3 linked regions of the Arabidopsis thaliana genome follow. The protein of the gene in region 2 purifies or fractionates together with the protein of the main gene of each other region. This does not show direct contact. Each region holds a gene or a part of one and is shown on either strand. Other genes may lie near its edges.

What was found. The genes of interacting proteins can lie anywhere in the genome.
Region 1: the proteins of ATMND1 (region 2) and AT2G03110 fractionate together in Arabidopsis thaliana (co-fractionation; one large-scale study listed by BioGRID). This does not show direct contact.
Region 3: the proteins of ATMND1 (region 2) and AHP2 fractionate together in Arabidopsis thaliana (co-fractionation; one large-scale study listed by BioGRID). This does not show direct contact.

What each region holds. Positions count from the first base shown.
Region 1 is NC_003071.7:932,218-938,667, forward strand, and holds AT2G03110 (putative RNA-binding protein), read left to right. Parts: upstream 1-2,579; 5' UTR 2,580-2,695; intron 2,696-2,945; 5' UTR 2,946-3,021; exon of another isoform or gene 3,022-3,091; 5' UTR 3,092-3,214; coding exon 3,215-3,595; intron 3,596-3,677; coding exon 3,678-3,758; 3' UTR 3,759-3,876; intron 3,877-3,973; 3' UTR 3,974-4,195; intron 4,196-4,290; 3' UTR 4,291-4,645; downstream 4,646-6,450. Other genes in the region: SPP (signal peptide peptidase), read left to right, coding at 5,337-5,376, 5,685-5,800, 5,895-6,046, 6,130-6,215.
Region 2 is NC_003075.7:14,381,010-14,388,099, forward strand, and holds ATMND1 (Mnd1 family protein), read left to right. Parts: upstream 1-1,826; 5' UTR 1,827-1,975; coding exon 1,976-1,978; intron 1,979-2,447; exon of another isoform or gene 2,448-2,542; coding exon 2,543-2,623; intron 2,624-2,807; coding exon 2,808-2,924; intron 2,925-3,033; coding exon 3,034-3,072; intron 3,073-3,171; coding exon 3,172-3,279; intron 3,280-3,360; coding exon 3,361-3,423; intron 3,424-3,504; coding exon 3,505-3,556; coding exon of another isoform or gene 3,557-3,561; exon of another isoform or gene 3,562-3,697; coding exon 3,698-3,742; intron 3,743-3,838; coding exon 3,839-3,918; intron 3,919-4,014; coding exon 4,015-4,119; 3' UTR 4,120-4,456; downstream 4,457-7,090. Other genes in the region: SNF7.1 (SNF7 family protein), read left to right, coding at 10-81, 332-431, 510-595, 683-774, 945-1,059, 1,139-1,333; RHS16 (root hair specific 16), read left to right, coding at 4,622-4,700, 4,981-6,015, 6,116-6,251, 6,353-6,424, 6,503-6,574, 6,664-6,744, 6,819-6,961, 7,046-7,090. UniProt on the Arabidopsis thaliana protein: Required for proper homologous chromosome pairing and efficient cross-over and intragenic recombination during meiosis.
Region 3 is NC_003070.9:4,565,156-4,572,403, forward strand, and holds AHP2 (Tat-binding protein 1(Tbp-1)-interacting protein (TBPIP)), read left to right. Parts: upstream 1-2,779; 5' UTR 2,780-2,852; coding exon 2,853-2,880; intron 2,881-2,987; coding exon 2,988-3,013; intron 3,014-3,373; coding exon 3,374-3,641; intron 3,642-3,727; coding exon 3,728-3,798; intron 3,799-3,884; coding exon 3,885-4,073; intron 4,074-4,156; coding exon 4,157-4,255; 3' UTR 4,256-4,262; intron 4,263-4,292; exon of another isoform or gene 4,293-4,466; coding exon of another isoform or gene 4,467-5,114; intron 5,115-5,184; 3' UTR 5,185-5,194; coding exon of another isoform or gene 5,195-5,314; 3' UTR 5,315-5,426; downstream 5,427-7,248. Other genes in the region: PP2AA3 (protein phosphatase 2A subunit A3), read right to left, coding at 140-220, 315-456, 645-724, 837-949, 1,182-1,428, 1,801-2,193; AT1G13340 (Regulator of Vps4 activity in the MVB pathway protein), read right to left, coding at 4,467-5,114, 5,195-5,314, 5,427-5,888. UniProt on the Arabidopsis thaliana protein: Involved in bivalent formation and segregation of homologous chromosomes in meiosis.

The sequences.
Region 1 (6,450 bases), on a different chromosome or scaffold from region 2:
CATTAGGAAAGAGAAGCAGAGGAGTTGATGGTTATGATGAGGATGATGTAAGGTGTAAATGATGATTCTTGAGTTTGCATTATCAGTCATGGATAAGATTATGATCAGAGGAAATAAGTAACTAAGTATGTAGGAGTGGCGTACTAGAAGGATATATCATGTCATATGCTTAATTCACTAAACAAACAATTAAAATTAGGGTTTATTAGCAAACTAGACACTTTTTCAAAAGTTATTTGAGAAGTAGGTAGTTTTTTTTACATATTAGAGAAATAGATACTTCTTTTGCTATTGTGAGATAGAAAATATGTGAGATAGAAGGTATATGACTGAAAAACAAAATAAGTGTTAAATACAATTGTACCCTTTTGTGTTGTGAGAAATAACTTTTGGAATAGGCCCAAATCTTTTAAAGATAATGGATCAAATACTATTTTCATAGCCCAATTAATTTAACATGTTATTTGGCCCCAAAAAAAATTCCAATCGTTTTTGTTTTTTCAGTTCATTTCTTCCAACGGTTAAATTTAACATTATATCACTTTTGTCGATTAAAACAAAATTTTGGAAAATCCTATGGTGTACACAATTTTTAATGGAATACGGAATGGTGTACACCATTAAAATCATGATATTGGTGACAGGATGGTGTACACAATTTTAAATGATTTAATATAATTAAACTTAATGGTGTACATGTTGGTGTACAATATTATGATATACGAGATTTGTGACAGAATGATGTACACAATTTTAAATGACAGCGTGTGAAATTGGTAGACATAACGTACAACATTTAGGGTATACTAATAGGAAATGTATAAACCATTATTTTAATTTACTGGTGTACATCATTTTGTACACTGGATTTGTACACTATTTCAAAAACTTTCAAATACACCAAATTATTCTCGATTTTATAGATTCGGTGTACAATATTTTTAAATATATAACCTATTATTTCAATTTATTGGTGTACATCATTTCGTACACTGATGTTTGTACACTATCTCATAGACTTTCAAGTATGCCAAATAGTTCTCTAGATTCGTGTACAATATTTTTGAAGGTGTACGATAGACGATTTAAAGATGTTACATACCCGCAATAGTAAAATTAAAATCTTAGTATTTTACTATTAAATTTAGTTTAGCTAAATATAACAAAATTAATATTTTAAAATGTATTAAAATTGAAAATGTTAGTATAGTAAAATGTTATAATATTACATATCCGCAAAATGTAACAAAATTAAAATCTTTACAATAAATAAAAAGATTAGTATTTTAAAATGTATACAATGATTGAAAGAAAATATGGGTTTTAGTTGATATCAAGCTCATGAGCAATTCGAAATTGGAGATGTTATTGAGCTGCTTTTAGTGAGGCCCAATTTATTTCATCAAAACAACAGAAGAGTAAAATTGTACTTTACTAAAAACTGTATTAGAAGAGGAGTTCTATTAGAGAAAAGAGATAAAAGTACTCATTCTTCCTATTTCTAAAAAAAGTACCCATTCCTCAAATTACTTTTGCAAAAAGTGCCTACTCTCCAACTTATCTCTTAAAATTATTAAGAGTATTAGTATCTTCTTAGGGAATTAATCGATAATTTTTTCTTAACATACAACTACAAACATATGATTTCTACTTTTAAATTCAAGAATCTGGTAATTTGTTTCTGGAAAATCTAATTTACTTCTATTCATATTTAAAATGTAATAATTCATTTGATATTAGCTTATGGTTAACTAACTTAAACATTCTATCGTTCAGTATAGATCGGGTGTAACCCGGACTATCCCCTTACAAATGGTCAAAATCAACCTAGAATATTTGTTGGCGGTTTTTTCATACCTAAACTACAATACCTAGTAAATATCAACCTAAACTCACTAAAAATTCAGGCTAGACTATATAAAAATAGCCAAAATCCACATATGCTAAAATGGTGTTAGTTAACAGCATAAAGCGTTGAGTCAACCAATACCATGGCAATGACGACGCATCGAAGTTGAGTAAAACAATGTCGTTTCGTGAGTTTAGGGTTCTCGAATCAAAGACTCTTTGGCGATTGCTTTAGCGATTCTTTGATTTGAGAACCCTAAACTCACGAAATAAAGTCGTATAATTACTCATCTACGATGCCCCGTTATTGCCACAATGTCGGCTGACTCATCGCCGTAAGTGATTGATTAACACTGTTTTGGCATATGTTGATTTTGACTATTTTCATATAGTTTAGGTTGAAAATTTAATTTTTTTAGTGAGTTTAGGTTGATATTTTTCAAATATCGTAGTTTGGGTATAAAAAACTGTCGGAAAATAGTGTGAGTTGATTTTAGCTATTTTCCCTTCATTAATAGAAAACATATATATACCACATAGCATCAATTCAAATATATATACCATATAGCATCAATTCAAATAGTAAATTTGACATTAATATCGCTTTATTTTATAATGTGGCTACGTGTTGTCACGACGCAAGAAAAATTTGAAAAGCCCTTGCTAGGCCTTTTAGATTCCTATAGACGTTAATGAGCCCAAAGACTTTCTTCATCTTTCACTACTCTTTTCAATTTCAAATTCCAAAAACCACAGAAAGAAAAAGACGGAGAGAGGCCGTTGCATTTTCCGGCGAGACGACGCTTCTTCGGACGGATTCACCGATCATCGGTTGTTTCATTCTCTGGTAACAGTTTACTGTTTTCGAGTTTTCCGTTTTCTAAGCAATGTTCAAGTACTATCAAGATTTATCGATCGGTTGGTTGCGTGAGAATTGATTTTCGTATTGATCTTCGTTGATTAGGTTTCTTGATGTGAGCTTTACATAATCTATCTATAGAGAAACGAAGAAGGATTTTGGTGTTATGAATGTTTGTTTCTGTTGCTTATTTGAAACCTAACTTAAACCCTAATTTTCTGTTTCGTATGTTCTTCAGCGTCCTCTGGCTTTGTGATTTCAGAACTTGTTTCACTAAATCGTTGCTAAAATGGCTCATTCAAGGAACAATTATGGTAAGAGATCTTGTTTTAGTTAGTTTTCATATTTGATAAGAGGTAAGAGAGTTTTTTTCTGATGATACAGATAATAATGGTGCTGGATTAGAAGATACTGTGTATCGTTACTTGTGTCTTGTGAGAAGAGCAGGGAGTTCTTGGGAGAGGTGGTGAGATTGCAAAATAGATTAGGTCTGAGACTAAAGCAAACATGAGGGTAAACGAGGCATTGCCTGGTTGTGATGAGCGTGTTGTGACTATATATTCTAATAGCGAGGAGAGAAATCGTATTGAAGATGACAATGAGGATTTTGTCTGTCCTGCTTTTGATGCTCTTTTCAAGGTTCATGATATGGTTGTTGTTGAAGAATTTGACGATGATGATGATTATAATGACAATGATGAGTATAGTGAGGGACAAACAGTTGTTACTGTGAGGATGCTTGTGCCTTCTGATCAAATTGGTTATCTTATTGGCAAAGGTGGACCAATTATTCAAACGCTGCGTAATGACACTAATGCTCAGATTCGTGTTAGAAATGATAATCTACCCATGTGTGCTTTGGCATTGAGTCATGATGAGCTTCTTCAGGTAATGTCTTCGAGATTTGAGTTAGTGTGTGTGGTTGTGTTTCGGATTTAGCTTATGAATGTTGTTGTTGGTTGACTTTCAGATAATTGGAGATCCTTCTGCTGTTAGAGAAGCTCTTTACCAAGTTGCCTTTCTGCTTTATAATAATCCGTCACGATTTTAGAACTACTTTCTGTCTTCCTCTAGTAGTACACTGCAACATCAACCTGGTAGAATTCTGATGAATCCTGCAGTAACGACCTCTCATAAAAATTGCTCGTGAGAATGAGGAGATGGTCCAAGTAATAAATCATGACCACCCTTTATTGCCTAGTGCTTGTCGATTTTGTGTGTTTGAAAGAGACCCTTAAACAATGTTTCTTTATCTTGTGGTTTTAGATAACAGGAAGTCTTGATGCAGCAATCAAAGCTCTTACACAAGTGATGCTGCGTTTAAGAGCCAATGTATTTGACATGGATCGTGGTCTTGTCTTGCTTCCAACTTTATTTCCTTATATTTCTCAAACAATATAGACTTCGAGCAAGTCTAGGCACAGAAAAGGCGAGAACCATCCTCATGGTTCAGAGGAATTTGCTAGGAATGAAGACTATGGTCAAATGGTATGATTGTCATAAAAAAATATATGATTCTGGTAACCAAATTTACTCATAGAGATTCATTTTTGATGATGTCTGTCTATTTTCTTCTTTTGCAGAACGTAAATTCCCCAATAAGAAACCGAGTTTATTGATCACCAAACCATGTCAAAAGGTTATCTTTCTATGTTCTAAACACTTAGATTCTGGAATATACTTTTTATAAAATACTTGGGCGTTTTTTTGGAATCCAAGAAAAAAGAGGATTCGAGTAGTTTTGCGCCTCAAGAATCTACAAATGCAGGAAGTTCTTAAAAGAATGATATATATATTTTTTTGTTTTTGTCATCTTCATGAAAGAATACAATGTTTCTTTCATTTTTCGTATTCGTATTTAACTATATTTGAGTAATCTTGTTCATCATTAGTGGTTCCAAAGCACTGTTATGAACTCGGACGCGTCTTTGCTACTAAGTGTGTCTAACTTGCAGCCAATTGTTCCAATGGTATGATCCACTTAAAAGTATAGTTGATTTTCATGTATTTTAATCAAATGGACCAAGACCAGTGGAAAGAGTCACATATAATCGGCTCCCTTCTTTTCTTTCCGTTTACTGTACTTCCATAAGTCAAATTTTGTTTAGATGTCACACTAATATTTTGTTTTTTTGTGTGTAAAAACTTACTAAAAGAGAAAAAAAATACTAAAAACTATACAATATAATACTTTTACATTGATTATTTATTAGGTCTTTAGCGAATTTTTGACATTGATTTATATGTTTCCAGTTTTGTTATCCGTTGAAGGAGAAAAGTATCGGTTACCATTGTATTGACTAACCATAAAAGAAAACAGATATGCATGTGTGATGTGGTGATGAATGCAATAATCAACCAATTAAAATGCGAACGTAATGTCATAGACACGTGAGCGTTACCAATGAAATAAGTCTGTCACGTAATTAGGTCACAGTCCCGTAACTTTCGTGGTCTTCGAGTATCTTAATTTTCTTTCCTTAACTCTTCTCTTTCTCTTCTTCTTCTTCTTCATCTTTTTTTTTTTAACAGATCTGGTGGAAATTTTATCTTTTGACCCCACCACTGGATCTCTCTATATACACATTCATCTGAGTAATAGAGTAAAAACGAAACACAAGAAGCAATTATGAAGAATTGTGAGAGATTTGCTAATCTCGCTCTCGCAGGTTTTTCTCTCTTTCACTCTTACAATTGTTACAATTCGTCTCGTGAATTTCAATTTTCGATCGATTTTTACGATCATGTGATTGTTTCGCGTTATGGGTTTCTTCTGATTGTGATTTAGGCTTCGAATTTGTTAACTTTTTCGGTTTTAGGTTTGTTCTTAGAATTTGCTGGAAAATATTTATTTTTTTGTTCGTTTTAGATCAGTTTGGTTTCTCTAGGGTTTAGGCTTGATGGGTGTGATTGATTGTTTTTGATTATGGTGTAAAGATTCAAAACTGAGTGGTTTTTGTTTTTGTTTTGGTTACAGGTTTGACATTGGCACCACTCGTTGTGAGAGTAAATCCAAATTTGAATGTTATTCTCACAGCATGTATCACTGTTTATGTGGGTTGCTTTCGTTCGGTCAAGGATACTCCTCCAACGGTAAGACAAAGACGCAATCAGATTGTTTTTTTTTATTAGTGAAACAATTTTCCAAATTCGATCTAAATTGTTTCTTTGGTTTGAAATGGTGTAGGAGACGATGTCAAAAGAACATGCCATGCGTTTCCCATTGGTTGGGAGTGCTATGCTTCTCTCACTTTTCTTATTGTTCAAGTTTCTCTCAAAGGACTTGGTTAATGCTGTGCTAACAGCTTACTTCTTTGTTCTTGGGATTGTCGCTCTTTCGTATGTCTTATCTAAATCATGCCTTTTGTTTTTTTATTTGTTTATCTGTGGTCAAGTCATGACACGGTTATGTGTGTTTGCAGAGCGACATTGTTACCAGCCATCAGAAGATTTTTACCAAATCCTTGGAATGACAATCTTATCGTCTGGCGTTTTCCTTATTTCAAGTGTACGTAACTAAGATTACCTTCAGTATTCTTTGGTAGCCATTTTTCTCATTATATAAGTTATGGGTTTGTTTGTTATCGTTTGCTTAGTGCTAGTCTTTGAATACTTATTTGGTTGATGTAATGATCATTCAAGATCCTAGGTGTTTGTCTCATTTTCAAATCTGTTTTTACTTTTCTTACTCTATCCAGTTATTGTTCTATCCTTCTGGTTGAGATGTGCTTATTTTCTTTGAT
Region 2 (7,090 bases):
AGCAAAATCATGATGAATCGGCTATTCGGGAAACCCAAGCAGGAGGCTAATGCTCTCCAAACTTTAGACAAGCTTAACGAGGTATCATCTACTTATCTACTTCTCTCTCTCAATTTACGTTCGATCTGAAAGAAATATCGATCTCTCTGTGTACTGATCTCTGTACTGTTTGTTTAATCTTAAACTTAAATCACCATAAGACATCACTTCAAATCCGATTCTCGTTTATATTTAATACTCAAAAACGATTGAATTGGGGATTTCTGAGTACAATTTATATGATCGTTTGCTTTTAAACCATATTCAAATTTTGTTGATTTGTTCATTGCAGACGCTTGAGATGCTAGAGAAAAAGGAGAAAGTACTCTTGAAGAAAGCTGGTGCAGAGGTTGAGAAGGCAAAAGAATACTCCCGGGCTAAGAACAAACGAGGTATGACCTCTTATTTATTATGACTCATGTGTGTTGCTAATCACTGGAGTACTTAAAAGCTGTATTGGGTTTTTGCAGCGGCTATACAGTGTTTGAAAAGGAAGAGGTTATATGAGGGACAAGTCGAACAGCTTGGGAATTTCCAGCTCCGTATTCATGATCAAGTGAGTTTGTTTTAAGATTGTTAACTATAAACTATATAGCAGTAATTAGATGAATTTATTGGGATCTTATATCTTTTTGTCATACAGATGATTATGTTAGAAGGTGCAAAAGCAACAACCGAAACTGTTGATGCATTGAGGAGTGGAGCTTCTGCAATGAAGGCAATGCAGAAAGCAACGTAAGTGTTCATCACATTTTCACCATATTACTCTTTACTACCATTTTAACCGTCATCAGTTCTGGGAATCGTTAATACGAGCTTGGTATTCAAAATACTTATGCTTTTCTTGTGCTTGAATGCTTTAACATTTCTAGTGCCTGACTAACTCAAAACACAATATTTTGCAGAAATATTGATGATGTGGATAAGACCATGGACGAGATCAATGAGCAAACCGAGAACATGAAACAGATCCAAGAAGCATTGGCGACTCCAATGGGGGCAGCGGCTGACTTCGACGAGGTAACTTTCTTGTACCCAAATGATCATATATTTTTCAACTAATAATGACTTTTGTCTAAGAAAAACTTCTCTTTGATAGGATGAGCTTGCAGCAGAGCTTGATGAACTAGAAAGTGAAGAGCTTGAATCGCAACTTCTACAGCCGGCAACAACAGCTCCTCCATTGCCTTCAGTTCCAGTGCCTGCAGGGCGTCAACCGGCTCGTCCTGTTCCCCAGAAGCGGACTGCTGAGGAAGAAGAACTCGCTGCATTACAGGCTGAGATGGCCCTCTAAGGTCTCTTCTATCTATAATCAAAGCAAAATCAATCAATTTGCTTACAGACTATGGATTTGTAATTTAACTAGTTTTGCAATTGGCTTGGTTTAACTGCAGGTTATTCACCTCTCCGAGCAGAGACATGTATGCATTGATAGACACGAACAGACGATGTATATAAGGATCTGAATCAGATTAATTCGGAGCGAAAAACTTTTATAATCCCCGTCGTTAATGTTATCTGCAATTTGAGTGTTCTTCACATAATTTATCTTTTGTAATTTTTGTATCTTTTTATGACACTTTTTCCTTTGGTTAATAATCACTTTACTCCTATGTTCATCACTTTCGCCTGATAAGACTACTCATGAATAGTCAACCATATACGTTGACTTCGCTGCTTTAACAAACATCATGCCGTTTTGGTACCATAAAATTGGACTCCGTGTCGTTTTAAGGTTAAATTCAAATTAATTGGAATAAAAAATGAAACAGAAAGCGAGGGATAATAACCCGCTTAAGTTTTCAAGGCTTCTTCTACAATTCTCTCATTTCGAATTTGATAAAGAGAGGAGACGATAGTGAGGGAAGAGAGTGAGAGAGAGCTGTAGCAGTGTTTGAAATCCTTTGGATTGCATCACCAGGAGCAAGAGATCACGATGGTAATATACTCTGGACGAATGTTCTCTACTTGTGATTTTGTTTCGCTAATGAACCTCTGTGATTTGTGCATTTTCCTGGGAAGATCGAGTGATTATTCTCTATGATTCTATGAATCGTGATTATCTTACACTGATGATCTTAGCTTGTGATTCTTCGACTTACAAGAGAATTTTGGATGTATTGATTCGACCTATTTGTTTGAATGTTTAGTAGTCATCGTTATGTGTTTCTCTTACTCTTCGAAGAAATTTGTTTAAACTTATCGTTCATCGGTAGTAATGTTTCTATCTTCCGTAGTTCATTACAAATTTGTGTGAGGAATTTCCGCAAACACTTGGACTGCATGACGCGAATCGATAGGTTCTCGAATTAGCATTTATCTAGCAGCCAATTCTCGCAATCAGTGTAGTCGCTGAGTTGACTGTATATATTTTTGACATTTTCGATCTGGAAACTATTTGTTGACAGATCATTTGTTGGATTTCGTCATTGAAGCTCTGAAGTTTTTTTTCGTCATTCTCGTATCAACTGAATCGCTGCTTTCTATTGTTGATGATATTCAGTCTAAGAAACGGGGACTTTCGCTGGAGGAGAAACGAGAGAAGATGCTTCAGATATTCTATGAGTCTCAAGACTTCTTCCTAGTGAGCACTTTCTTTAGTTTTTACAACTTGCTAATTTTTGGACGCCTTTGAACTAGCTTTATCTACCAAGTGATCTGATATCTAGAGTCGTGAAGTGCATATACTGCCTAAATTTGTTGCTATTGAACTTTTGGGTTTGTGATACAAGCACTTATGGGTCTCTACTTTTGTAAAAAAATTTCAGCTAAAGGAACTTGAGAAGATGGGGCCGAAGAAGGGTGTAATTAGTCAGTCTGTGAAAGATGTTATCCAGAGTTTAGTCGATGATGATCTTGTTGCGAAAGACAAGATTGGAATTTCTGTGAGTAGCTTAGTGTTCCTATGTTGGATCTTTTTATTTCATTTGTTGCCATATAGTCCTTGTCTCTGTTATATGTTGTTTGACGGTGTTCATTATTTTGCAAATGAAGATCTACTTTTGGAGCCTTCCCAGCTGTGCTGGCAATCAAGTGAGTCACCGTTCTGTATCCTGAGATGACATCAAAAAGATTCATATTAATTTGAGCATAGCGAAATTCATTGTTTCTGATCTCATTTTGAATGAACAGCTTAGGAGTGTTCGCCAGAAACTTGAATCTGATCTTCAGGGTAGTAACAAAAGGTTAGCAGAACTTGTTGATCAGTGTGAGGCCCTAAAGAAGGGAAGGGAAGAATCGGTAAGTATTTTCAGTATTGTAGAATTAATGCTCGAATAAGCTTACGTGTGCTTTTCACCAGAATTGCTGTTCTTGCTGCAGGAGGAACGAACAGAGGCCTTGACGCAACTCAAAGATATTGAAAAGAAACACAAAGATCTGAAGGTCAGATTATACAGACTATCTGTTTGCATAGAGCTATTCACATGCTTAACAAGTTGCTAACAGTTTCTTCTTCTTAAACAGAACGAGATGGTACAATTTGCTGACAACGATCCAGCTACTTTGGAGGCAAAGAGTTAAGTTCTGCATAATACGTTACTTTTGTTTTGTGTTAGATCTCCTATATGGTTTTCCCGGTCTTCGTGGAGCAGAAATAAGAATCAATCTTGTGCTTTACTAGCTGTATCAATGTGTATATTCCTTCTAATTTTGACAGGGAATGCAATTGAAGTTGCTCACCAGTCGGCTAACAGATGGACAGGTATTTCATTTCTAAAACTTGGGAATGTGTTTTCAGTTTTAATACTTACGTAATTTTCACTGCAGCCTAGATTATAATTCTTTCAAACTTACTCAGATAACATCTTCACACTGCGACAATGGTGTTCAAACAACTTCCCCCAGGCCAAGGAACAGCTAGAACATCTATACACGGAGGTATCTTCCAGATCTTTTCACTTCAAAAGGCTATAAATTCCACATTTCACATTCTCATACATGAAGGAGAGACTAAATCAGCTGGGTAACTTTCAGGCGGGAATCACTGAGGACTTTGATTACATAGAGTTATCATCATTCCCTTTGAGCTCATCCCATGAAGCTGATACCGCAAAGCAGCTAGTACAAGATGAAGCTTAGTTCTAATACTCTCCAGCATAACAGTTAAAGAAACAATAGCTTAAGTAAAAAATCTTTTCACTATCCTTTTAAGTTTTCTGGTTTTAAAGGTTGCAACAGTCTGTAATTCTCTATGTGACCCAATCATCTAATGTCAAAACTCGGTTACAAATTCTGTGGTCAGAAAAGATTTTTATTTTCTTTGTATCTGTCGGCTATGTCCAAGCTTGGCTATGTTTTGTTATAATATTTTATTGGAGTTATATATATATCATGCGTTAGTTGTTGACCCACTGGTTACTTCTTGATAGCTGTATTACCATTTTATATTCTTTCTTGGCCGCTTTTTTCAGTCGTGAGCAGCACTTATGTTATACACCTCCAGGTCAATTTTGTTGCTACCAGAAGAGGAAATGGGCATAGACTTTGTACTTTCTAGTCTTTTGTGTTTTTGTGTTATCTTAAACGCAGGTTGTCTGTTTTTCTGACGATGATGAGCTGAGCTTTACAAAATAAGAAGAACATGGGAGCTCACTCTGTTTTTCTCATCCTTTTTTCCGTCATTGCCATTGCCATTGTAGTACATGGCCAAGGCCAAGCAGGTTCGTGAGTCTCATTCTCGCTTATTTTCCTCTGTTAGAGTCTGTTTTGATTTGAAAATGAGCAATCTTCAGACCAAAGATTTTTGAAGTTTTGATATATGTGGTTGCATTTTGGCCAAAACCGTGTTCTGATTATTGGTTTGACATGATAAGTGAGGTCCAAGTCTGTTTCTATGATTGAATGCTTTAGGTTCTAAAATTTAAACCTGCATTGGAATTTTGATGAAAATTTTCTCAACGTTGTAGAATTAATCAAAACCCTTACCTTCTTCTGGTCCAGGTTTCATCAGCATAGATTGTGGGTCACCCCCTAATATTAACTATGTAGACACTGATACTGGTATCAGTTACACCTGGGATGCACCTTTCATCAACGCTGGAGTAAATCTGAACGTCTCTGAAGAATACGGTTACCCGAAAAACCCGGTTTTGCCTTTCCCGCTTGCTGATGTAAGATCTTTTCCTCAAGGAAACAGGAACTGTTACACCTTAACCCCCTCCGATGGAAAAGGGAATCTTTATCTCATCAGAGCTTCGTTTATGTATGGAAACTACGATGGTAAAAATGCTTTACCTGAGTTTGATCTCTACGTAAACGTGAATTTCTGGACCTCGGTGAAACTCAGAAATGCTTCTGAGAACGTCATCAAGGAGATCCTCAGCTTTGCAGAGTCAGATACAATATATGTTTGCCTTGTGAACAAAGGTAAAGGAACTCCTTTTATTTCAGCGTTGGAGCTTCGACCAATGAACAGCTCCATCTATGGAACTGAGTTTGGAAGAAATGTCTCATTGGTACTCTATCAAAGATGGGATACAGGATATTTGAATGGAACAGGACGGTACCAAAAGGATACATATGATCGTATTTGGTCTCCGTACTCTCCAGTGTCTTGGAATACAACTATGACTACTGGGTATATCGATATTTTTCAGTCTGGTTATAGGCCACCAGATGAAGTTATTAAGACAGCTGCTTCGCCTAAAAGTGACGATGAACCATTGGAACTGTCTTGGACATCAAGCGATCCAGATACTCGGTTTTATGCGTACCTTTATTTTGCAGAACTTGAAAATCTCAAGAGGAATGAGAGCAGAGAAATCAAGATATTCTGGAATGGGTCGCCTGTTTCAGGAGCTTTTAACCCCTCTCCTGAGTATTCAATGACAGTGTCTAACTCACGAGCTTTCACTGGTAAAGATCACTGGATTTCTGTTCAGAAGACCGCAGAGTCAACGCGTCCACCAATACTCAATGCTATTGAGATTTTTTCAGCACAATCTCTGGATGAATTTTACACCAGAATTGACGATGGTGTGTTCATCTCTACTTTGTTAGTCGTCTACGTATATTTTGTTCTGGTCTTTAATTTTCACTGACACTCACAGTTTTCCATTTTCTATTGGTAATGCAGTTCAAGCCATAGAAAGCATAAAATCAACGTATAAAGTGAATAAGATTTGGACTGGTGATCCTTGCTCTCCCAGACTCTTCCCTTGGGAAGGTATTGGATGCAGCTACAACACTTCTAGTTATCAAATCAAGTCCCTGTAAGTCATTCATTCATTTCAACCTGAAAAAACTCATTGTGTAATTTCCCTCAAACTTAAGTTTTGCTGATGAGCTTGTTTCTGTATTTTGCTGCGAGAAGAAATCTTAGTTCAAGTGGATTACATGGACCAATAGCGTTCGCATTTAGAAATCTCTCCCTTCTTGAGTCATTGTAAGTATACAAACACATTGAAACTTGCCACCACTTTATTCACAGTAACTATAATAGTGGTGTGCATTGTTTTCCCAGGGATTTATCAAACAACAACCTCAAAGGAATTGTGCCGGAATTTTTGGCTGATCTAAAATATCTGAAGTCCCTGTGAGTTGAGCACATAGAGAACCTCGTTGAGTTTGTATTGATAGACAATCAAAATAGTATTTTGTCTCTGACATTAATTTGTGTCGCAGGAATTTGAAAGGAAATAACTTGACTGGGTTTATCCCAAGATCTCTTAGGAAAAGAGCAACGGCTAATGGACTTGCACTCAGGTACACGGAACCATAGTCATTTTGCCGCGTCTCTACCATTTTCAAAAGCTTATTGATTTCCTCTTTGTCTCCAGTGTCGATGAACAAAACATTTGTCACTCACGTTCATGTCGGGACGGGAACAGAATCATGGTGCCAATAGTTGTATCCACATTAGTGATTATTCTCATTGCCGCCTTGGCTATCATATGCATCATGCGAAGGGAAAGCAAAATAAGTAAGTACAGAGTGTCTTTTACTTAGATTTAAATTTAATAAGGTAGAATTAATGCTGAAAGAAAACGAGTGTTTAATTTCCTAGTGTATTCAGGAGCATATTCAGGACCACTTCTGCCTTCGGGAAAGA
Region 3 (7,248 bases), on a different chromosome or scaffold from region 2:
AAATCTTTATCTCTAAGATGCTAAATACATAGAATATTATGAGCTTACACTCCAAACTATAGAGCCAAATGAATTTTTGTATAGATGACAGTATTCATGATATGAGAGGCAAATTGTATCGGTTTTTAATTCTGCTTACCTTACCCAAGACTGGAGCCATTCCCATTATAACTGATGCCAATGCAGATCTGACGTGCTGAGAAGAGTCTGATGATAATTCCTACGTGTAGATTTATAGGTAAGCTTAGCAAACACCGACAGTATTTTGGTCCTTTGCATAATATGAAATCAACACACTCTTCTTAAGTGTGTACCTTTACACAGGGAAGAATGTGCTGGATAGCGAGTTCAGGGTTTAAAATGCGACAAAACTTGGTAACTTTTCCAGCAGCTGCTATCCGAACTTCTGCCTCATTATCACAAAGTAGACGAGCATATGCAGGCACCAGATCCGTCCTTAATACATAAGGCACATGAGAAAGTATAAAAAACGACTCAAAGAAATTTATTAAGATGACTCAACAAACATGGACTTCCAAGTACCAAATACCTCTGAAGTCAGTAATCTATTGTTTGATATAGAATTGCATACTAAAGGTCAATACTACATTAAACCATAACTAACTTCAACCATCACTGCTTACCTAGTTGGCTCCGGTCCTACAGCTTCACAAAGTTCATAGAGCTGATTTGCAACCATATAACGCACACGCCAGGACTTATCCTGCTCAAAGACGAAAAAAATCAAGATAAAGCAGCTCATACATATCTGCCTTACAGCTTTCCCATAAAGCTCATCAATAGAATTTTTTTATCATATTCACACATTTATTTACCTGCGAGAAATTGACAATCACAGGAAGAATGTGTGCAACACAGTCCTGGGGCTCCAACAATTTCCCAAGAGCAGCACAACCCTCAACAGCCAATAATCTAACCGAATCTTGATCTGATATCAATGTCAATAAGATACTTAAAATCTGTAATATTATAATATAAAAAGACACTGAAGCTGAGATGTAGACAACCGTAATTCTGCTTAACTTCAGCTAATGGTCAGTGTTCAATGCAGTAACCCTAATACTTGCCTATTACACATCAGCCACCCCCATAACTAGGCTTGATGAAAATTGTAAGAGTATATGCTGGAAAAACGAAACATATAATAAGGGAGAGCATACCATCTTGCGTAAGATCCTCAAACATGGACATAATGTCTGTCTTCAAATGAGCTGATTCAATTGTAGCAGCAAACTTCCCCAAATTAGTTGCTGCAGCTCTGCGCACCATTGGCATGTCATCTTGACAAAGCTGACCATATATTGATCTTAGCTCCGTCTTTAGCACATCTGGGGCACTTGGGTATGCAATATGGAAAATCCCACATGCTGATACTCTGGCTGTGAACCATTCACCAGCTGAAAGTCGCTGTTACACAATGACAGTGTTCAGTAATGCTTAAGTCGGTTTCACATTACGAGCACCTATACCGAGGTATGTATGGTCACATACACAACCACAACCCAAAAGAGCGCTAAAGCCAGAGCGATGTTCTCTTAGATCAACCAAAATGGATGTAAACAACTTCAACCTACCAATTTCCCAAAACACCTATAAGGGGAACACTGAACAAGAAAAGCATATTTCCAAACTTTGGGGGACAATTGACAAAGGACCCCAAAAAATCTATGTTCTTCTGTTTTAGTGGCTTAATAATATTAAGTTTGACAGAGCATGGAAAGGAATCAATAAAATCGACCAAAGAGATTTGATAAAATAAGTAAACCAGCCTTATCTAACCTTAGCCAGAGGAGTGAAATGCTCAACCAAGTCACTCTCCCTCATCTGAGCACCAATTCTACAAAGTGAATCCACAGCTTTCTCCCTCACGCAAGTTTCCTCAACAGTGGATAGAGTCTCCAAAGGTGGAAGCAGAACATATGCATACTCAACCCCTCCTACATACAGAATAAAACCCCCCAACTCTTCCGCCATAGCCAAAAGCACCTCATCGTCATCGTCATTGTTCTCACTAAGAAATGGAATCAACTCTTTTCTTGTCCTCTCCTCTCCAAGAGCACGAGCAATGATAGAAAGCCGTTTAATAGAGTTCAATCTACGCTGAATATCATCGTTTTTTAGCTCGTCGATAAGCACAGCAATCGGGTATAAAGGCTCATCAACCATAGACATCCTCACCAAAACTCAAATCACTCCCTACCTTCAATCAAACACAAATGTACACAAAGTCAGAATAAAACACAATGCATACATAGACACCATCAATACAAAAGACGATAAAGTTACAAACTTTAAACTCAATTCCGCCTCTGAGATAATTCAAAGGTGACCCATTAGCCTCTAAAAAATGATTAGAATGGAGAACTGAAACTTTGTGCCGTCCCAATCTAGAGAGAAACTATTACCATTCTTAGACTAATAAAGAGAGAAGATCTAAACAATAATTCGATTTGAGATTCTCAATATACAATTGGAAAATGTTTCGAAATTGAAGAAATGATCGAGAATTTACCGATTACGCTGCTTTCCAAGTTCCGAGCGATCTATCAATCAGAAGAACGAGAAATGAGACCGGAGCTCGTCTTTCGCAGCAGCTAAACCATCTTCAAGCTGTGTCCATATAATTGGGCCTGTCAAAGATAAGAACTAAATGGGCTTATGTATAATACATAAAGGCCCATATATCCAACAAATACGACTTCGTTTAATATCTCTCTCGTATAAAGGAAGCTTCTCAGTAACTCTCTTCTTCTTCCTCAGAAAATATCGGAAAAGGAAAAAAGTTGCTCTCGCTTCAGGTTTTTTATTTCCCGCCAATTATTTCGACAAAAATGGCTCCTAAATCGGATAACACCGAAGGTATAATGATATAATCTCTGAAAAAAATCTGCTAGTTCTCTTTGATCTTATTCCTCATTTTGATTTCTCTCTTATTTACTTGTTTCCTGAATTTTTTATTTCTGCAGCTATCGTACTCAACTTTGTCAATGAGGTAAGCACTTCTCTGCGATTCTACATTTTTGCTTTAATTCTAAACGGAGATCACAAACAGATACGACCATAAAAATTAGAATTCGAATTTGAAATTGAGTCTAGGTTAAGGTACGCAGTGATGTTCACATGATTCTGAATCTGGGAATTTAATCACTTGGGTTTCAATTTGTGCTATAAGTTTACACATGAATTTTTCGTTTGAAGCTATTGATATTGACTAGGTTTTAAAAATTGATTGATACAGGTTATATATATATATATATATATATATATATATATATTGCAAGTTTTGTTTCAATCTGTTGTATTATTGTTGTTAGATTTTGATGAATGTGTTGTTGGTACTTTTTTGATGCAGCAAAACAAACCTCTAAACACTCAAAATGCAGCTGATGCTCTACAAAAGTTTAACCTTAAGAAGACTGCGGTGCAAAAGGCACTTGATAGTCTTGCTGATGCTGGAAAAATCACGTTTAAAGAGTATGGTAAGCAGAAGATATACATTGCTAGACAAGACCAGTTTGAGATTCCAAACTCTGAAGAACTTGCTCAAATGAAAGAAGACAATGCCAAACTTCAAGAACAGCTTCAAGAGAAGAAGAAAACTATCAGTGATGTGGAATCAGGTGTGAAAAAACTACTTTTTCTCAGTGGTTTTGAGGATGTGATATAGCTGCTTGGATAATGTTATGTTCTGTGATGTTATTTGCAGAAATCAAGAGTTTGCAGTCAAACTTGACACTAGAAGAGATACAAGAGAAAGATGCCAAACTAAGGAAAGAGGTATATGTTTTTCTTACCTTTTGGTTTTTGTCTTTCTTTGAGTAAGGTTGTTGATAGCTTATAAAGTGATTTCAACTGTGTACCAGGTTAAGGAAATGGAAGAGAAACTGGTCAAACTACGTGAAGGGATTACATTGGTGAGGCCAGAAGACAAAAAGGCTGTTGAAGATATGTATGCGGATAAGATTAATCAGTGGCGCAAGCGTAAGAGGATGTTCAGAGACATTTGGGATACTGTAACAGAGAATTCTCCCAAAGATGTGAAGGAACTAAAGGTGCAAACTCATATTTCTTCAGGAGTTTTTTCTTACAGACTACATCAGCTTCGCCATAATTTTTGACTACTGTTACTTTGCAGGAGGAGCTTGGAATTGAATACGATGAAGATGTCGGTCTAAGTTTCCAGGCATATGCTGACCTAATTCAACATGGTAAAAAGAGGCCTCGAGGACAGTAATTTTCAGGTAAGTTCTTCGAATTTGATTCAAAGTTTTCTAGAAACGTTTCTTGTATAAACACACACATATGCAACTGTACAACATCATTGAAAGCTTATATCCATAAAGAACACAATAATCTTACATCTTTGACCACAAAAAGAACATAGAAAAGTACAAAACTGAGTGATTACACCGTAGATGCACCTGAAAAACTTATAACATTTGTACTTAGTATCCACGAACCTGTCTTGTCCTGACTGAAACTGGACCCTTCAAACCTGCTTTACGCATAATAGGATCTTCAATTGAACGAACCATGTGGTCCACATGTCTTGTATCCGCTCTATTCGAACCAACCATACGATTTTGCTCATCTTTAGACTTACTAATAGTAATAGTCTCAACACTAGGTTGGGTTTCTTCTTCACTATCGTAGATAATAGTATCCTTCTCCAATAGCTTCACAGGGTCTTCTCTGAATGACATCACTGGGACATCAATAATATCTTCTGAATCTGACATCGACCTTTTAGATTCTGACATCACATCCCCTTCCCCTTCTGAAGAATCATCATTACCTTCTTGTTCTTGTTCTGACTCTTTGTTTTCAGAACCATGAAATGAATTTTCCCCACCAATGTTACCCGGACTGTCATGTCCACGAGGAGAAAACTGAGAAAGCTCCACAGCCGCTTGTGCAGCCTCTGCTGCATGAGCTGCTGACTCAAACGCTGCTTGTGCAGCATCAGCCACATCTTTGTACTTCTTCTTTCCTCTCTTGACCGAATCAGATAAACCATAACCTTCTCCTCTGCCATCTTTACTTGTTAGCTTAGTCTTACTAACATCTGATGTTCCCTGCATATTTGTTGTTCCCTGCAAATGTTACAAATTTGATTAGAACATGATTTTTTCAACTTTTTGTTATCTTGGTGGTTAATTGCAGATTTCTATACCTCAGTGGACGTAGAAGCTTGGTCTAGTTTCAGAACAATGTTATTCTCTGCAGCAATCTCCTTCAAAGCCTTCATTCTAACTTCTTTCGGTGGAGGTCTTGTCGACAACTTCTGAATTATCTATAGTAACACCAAAAGAAACATGGAACTCAGTAAGTATTTTGTTCTATCAAGAGAGATATATAACATAACGTATTGAATATAGTATTTGTTGAATCGAGAACTTGCTTACTTTGGGATCAACCCCACAATTACTGCGCAACTCAATAGACCGAGCCGCGAGATCTTTGCCAAAACGCGAAATCAAAACATTACGAATCTCTTGAAGCTCAGGGAATTCACCGATTCTAGAAGCTGCAAATAGCAAACCCGAAACAGCTTCTAGAAGCTCTTCAGGACAATCTCTGTTGTGTTCAAAGAGGTGAATACGATCGAGACAGAGAGTGAAGTAGCCATGGATGAAGAAGAGAACGTCGAGAGTGTTTTGGTCTTTGACGACTTGATCGACTCTATGGTAAGCGTGCTCATGTTGGCCGAGCTTAAGAAGCTCGGTGACATCAGAGATGGCTTGAGAGAGTCTGGCTTGACGCTGGTTCTTGAGAATAGAGAGCCTTGTGAGAGCTAAGGTGATAAGAGACTTGAACTTGTTGGTCTTGAAACTGCGACCAAGCAAAGCGTCAAGCTTCTTCCCCATGGCCGAGTTGCAGAGAAGAGAGGACAGGTAGAGAATAAGAGTTTATGTTGTCTTCCTTTGAATTGGAAGTGTTATAAGAGAGGAAAGAGGAGAAGACGCGTTACGACATACGAAGACTTCTTAGCAACGAAGTTTTCAGAAGTTAGAAAAAACGACCTTAAAGAAGAAAATGTGGTACGAATTACGAAATAATAAGCCAAATAATAATAAAAACAAAATGGACCGCTATTTAATATTGCGCCATCGGATTAATTATTTTTAGACCAAATTTAAATCCATTGTTGAAAAAAATGAGTATCGTATCTGATTAATCCAAAATGGGTAGCATATCCGAATACGCTATATCCTTAAGAAACGTTTTGGGCAGTTTCTTCAAACATCTAGATCTTATTACTCTTTCTTATTTTGAATTTTCTTTATGTCCACCTAAAGTTATTAGAATATCTTGTGAAAATTATTTGAAGAAAAGCTACATGAACCAGTCTCAAAACATGAAACTAGTAACACTTTGATTAAATAAAGAGAAATAGTCATCGGTACCAGTATCCACATCTGAACCGGCCATAACTTGTACCAGTCTAGTCTTAAAACATGAAAATGCATGTAAGATTCAGGTTTCCCCTATAAATTGCAGTCTTTAAAGTTTGTAATTTGTATAATGTGAACCATGGACCCATAATTATTGTCTCATGACGAGGAACGTTCGTTCTGTTCTAATTTCTTTAAGTTATTAGAAAACAACAGAAAATAAACGTGTAAGAGAATCCCTCAGGTCCCAATATTTGTTCGAACTTTCCTTACAAAACTATAAACGGAACACTCATAACAAAGTCGTGAAAAAGACTTGCGAGAAATGTCATTGTTACGGCTCTTACTATTGCAATTAATTTAAGAATGACAGGTTTAGATGAATTATTAAAGCAGCCATTAGAAAACACACCATTTCATCTTTATTAGGTGTGACTACAATATCATGATCAAAAGACTACTACAACTCACCTGCACGCAACTTTCCACGTCAAAAACATTAGTAACAAAAATCTTGTTATTATGTTGAAGAGAGACTTTTTCTTCTGTTAGGTACGAAAAAAATGGAAAGACCTTGTTTATTTACCAATGCAATCGTTTCTCTAGACATAATTCTCCCACTCATCAGAGGTGAACCAAACAGATTATAAATATTTTGTAATCACAGATTTGCAAAACTAACTTCAAATGCTACCTACTCTTTCGTAATTATACACAAGTCCTCTCAAACTCTGATATACTTGTATAGTTGCATGCACGTGATAATAATGTGAAACCGCCAACTAAACAATGGCCAAGAACTTAGATTATGGAAGACTGAATCACATGAATC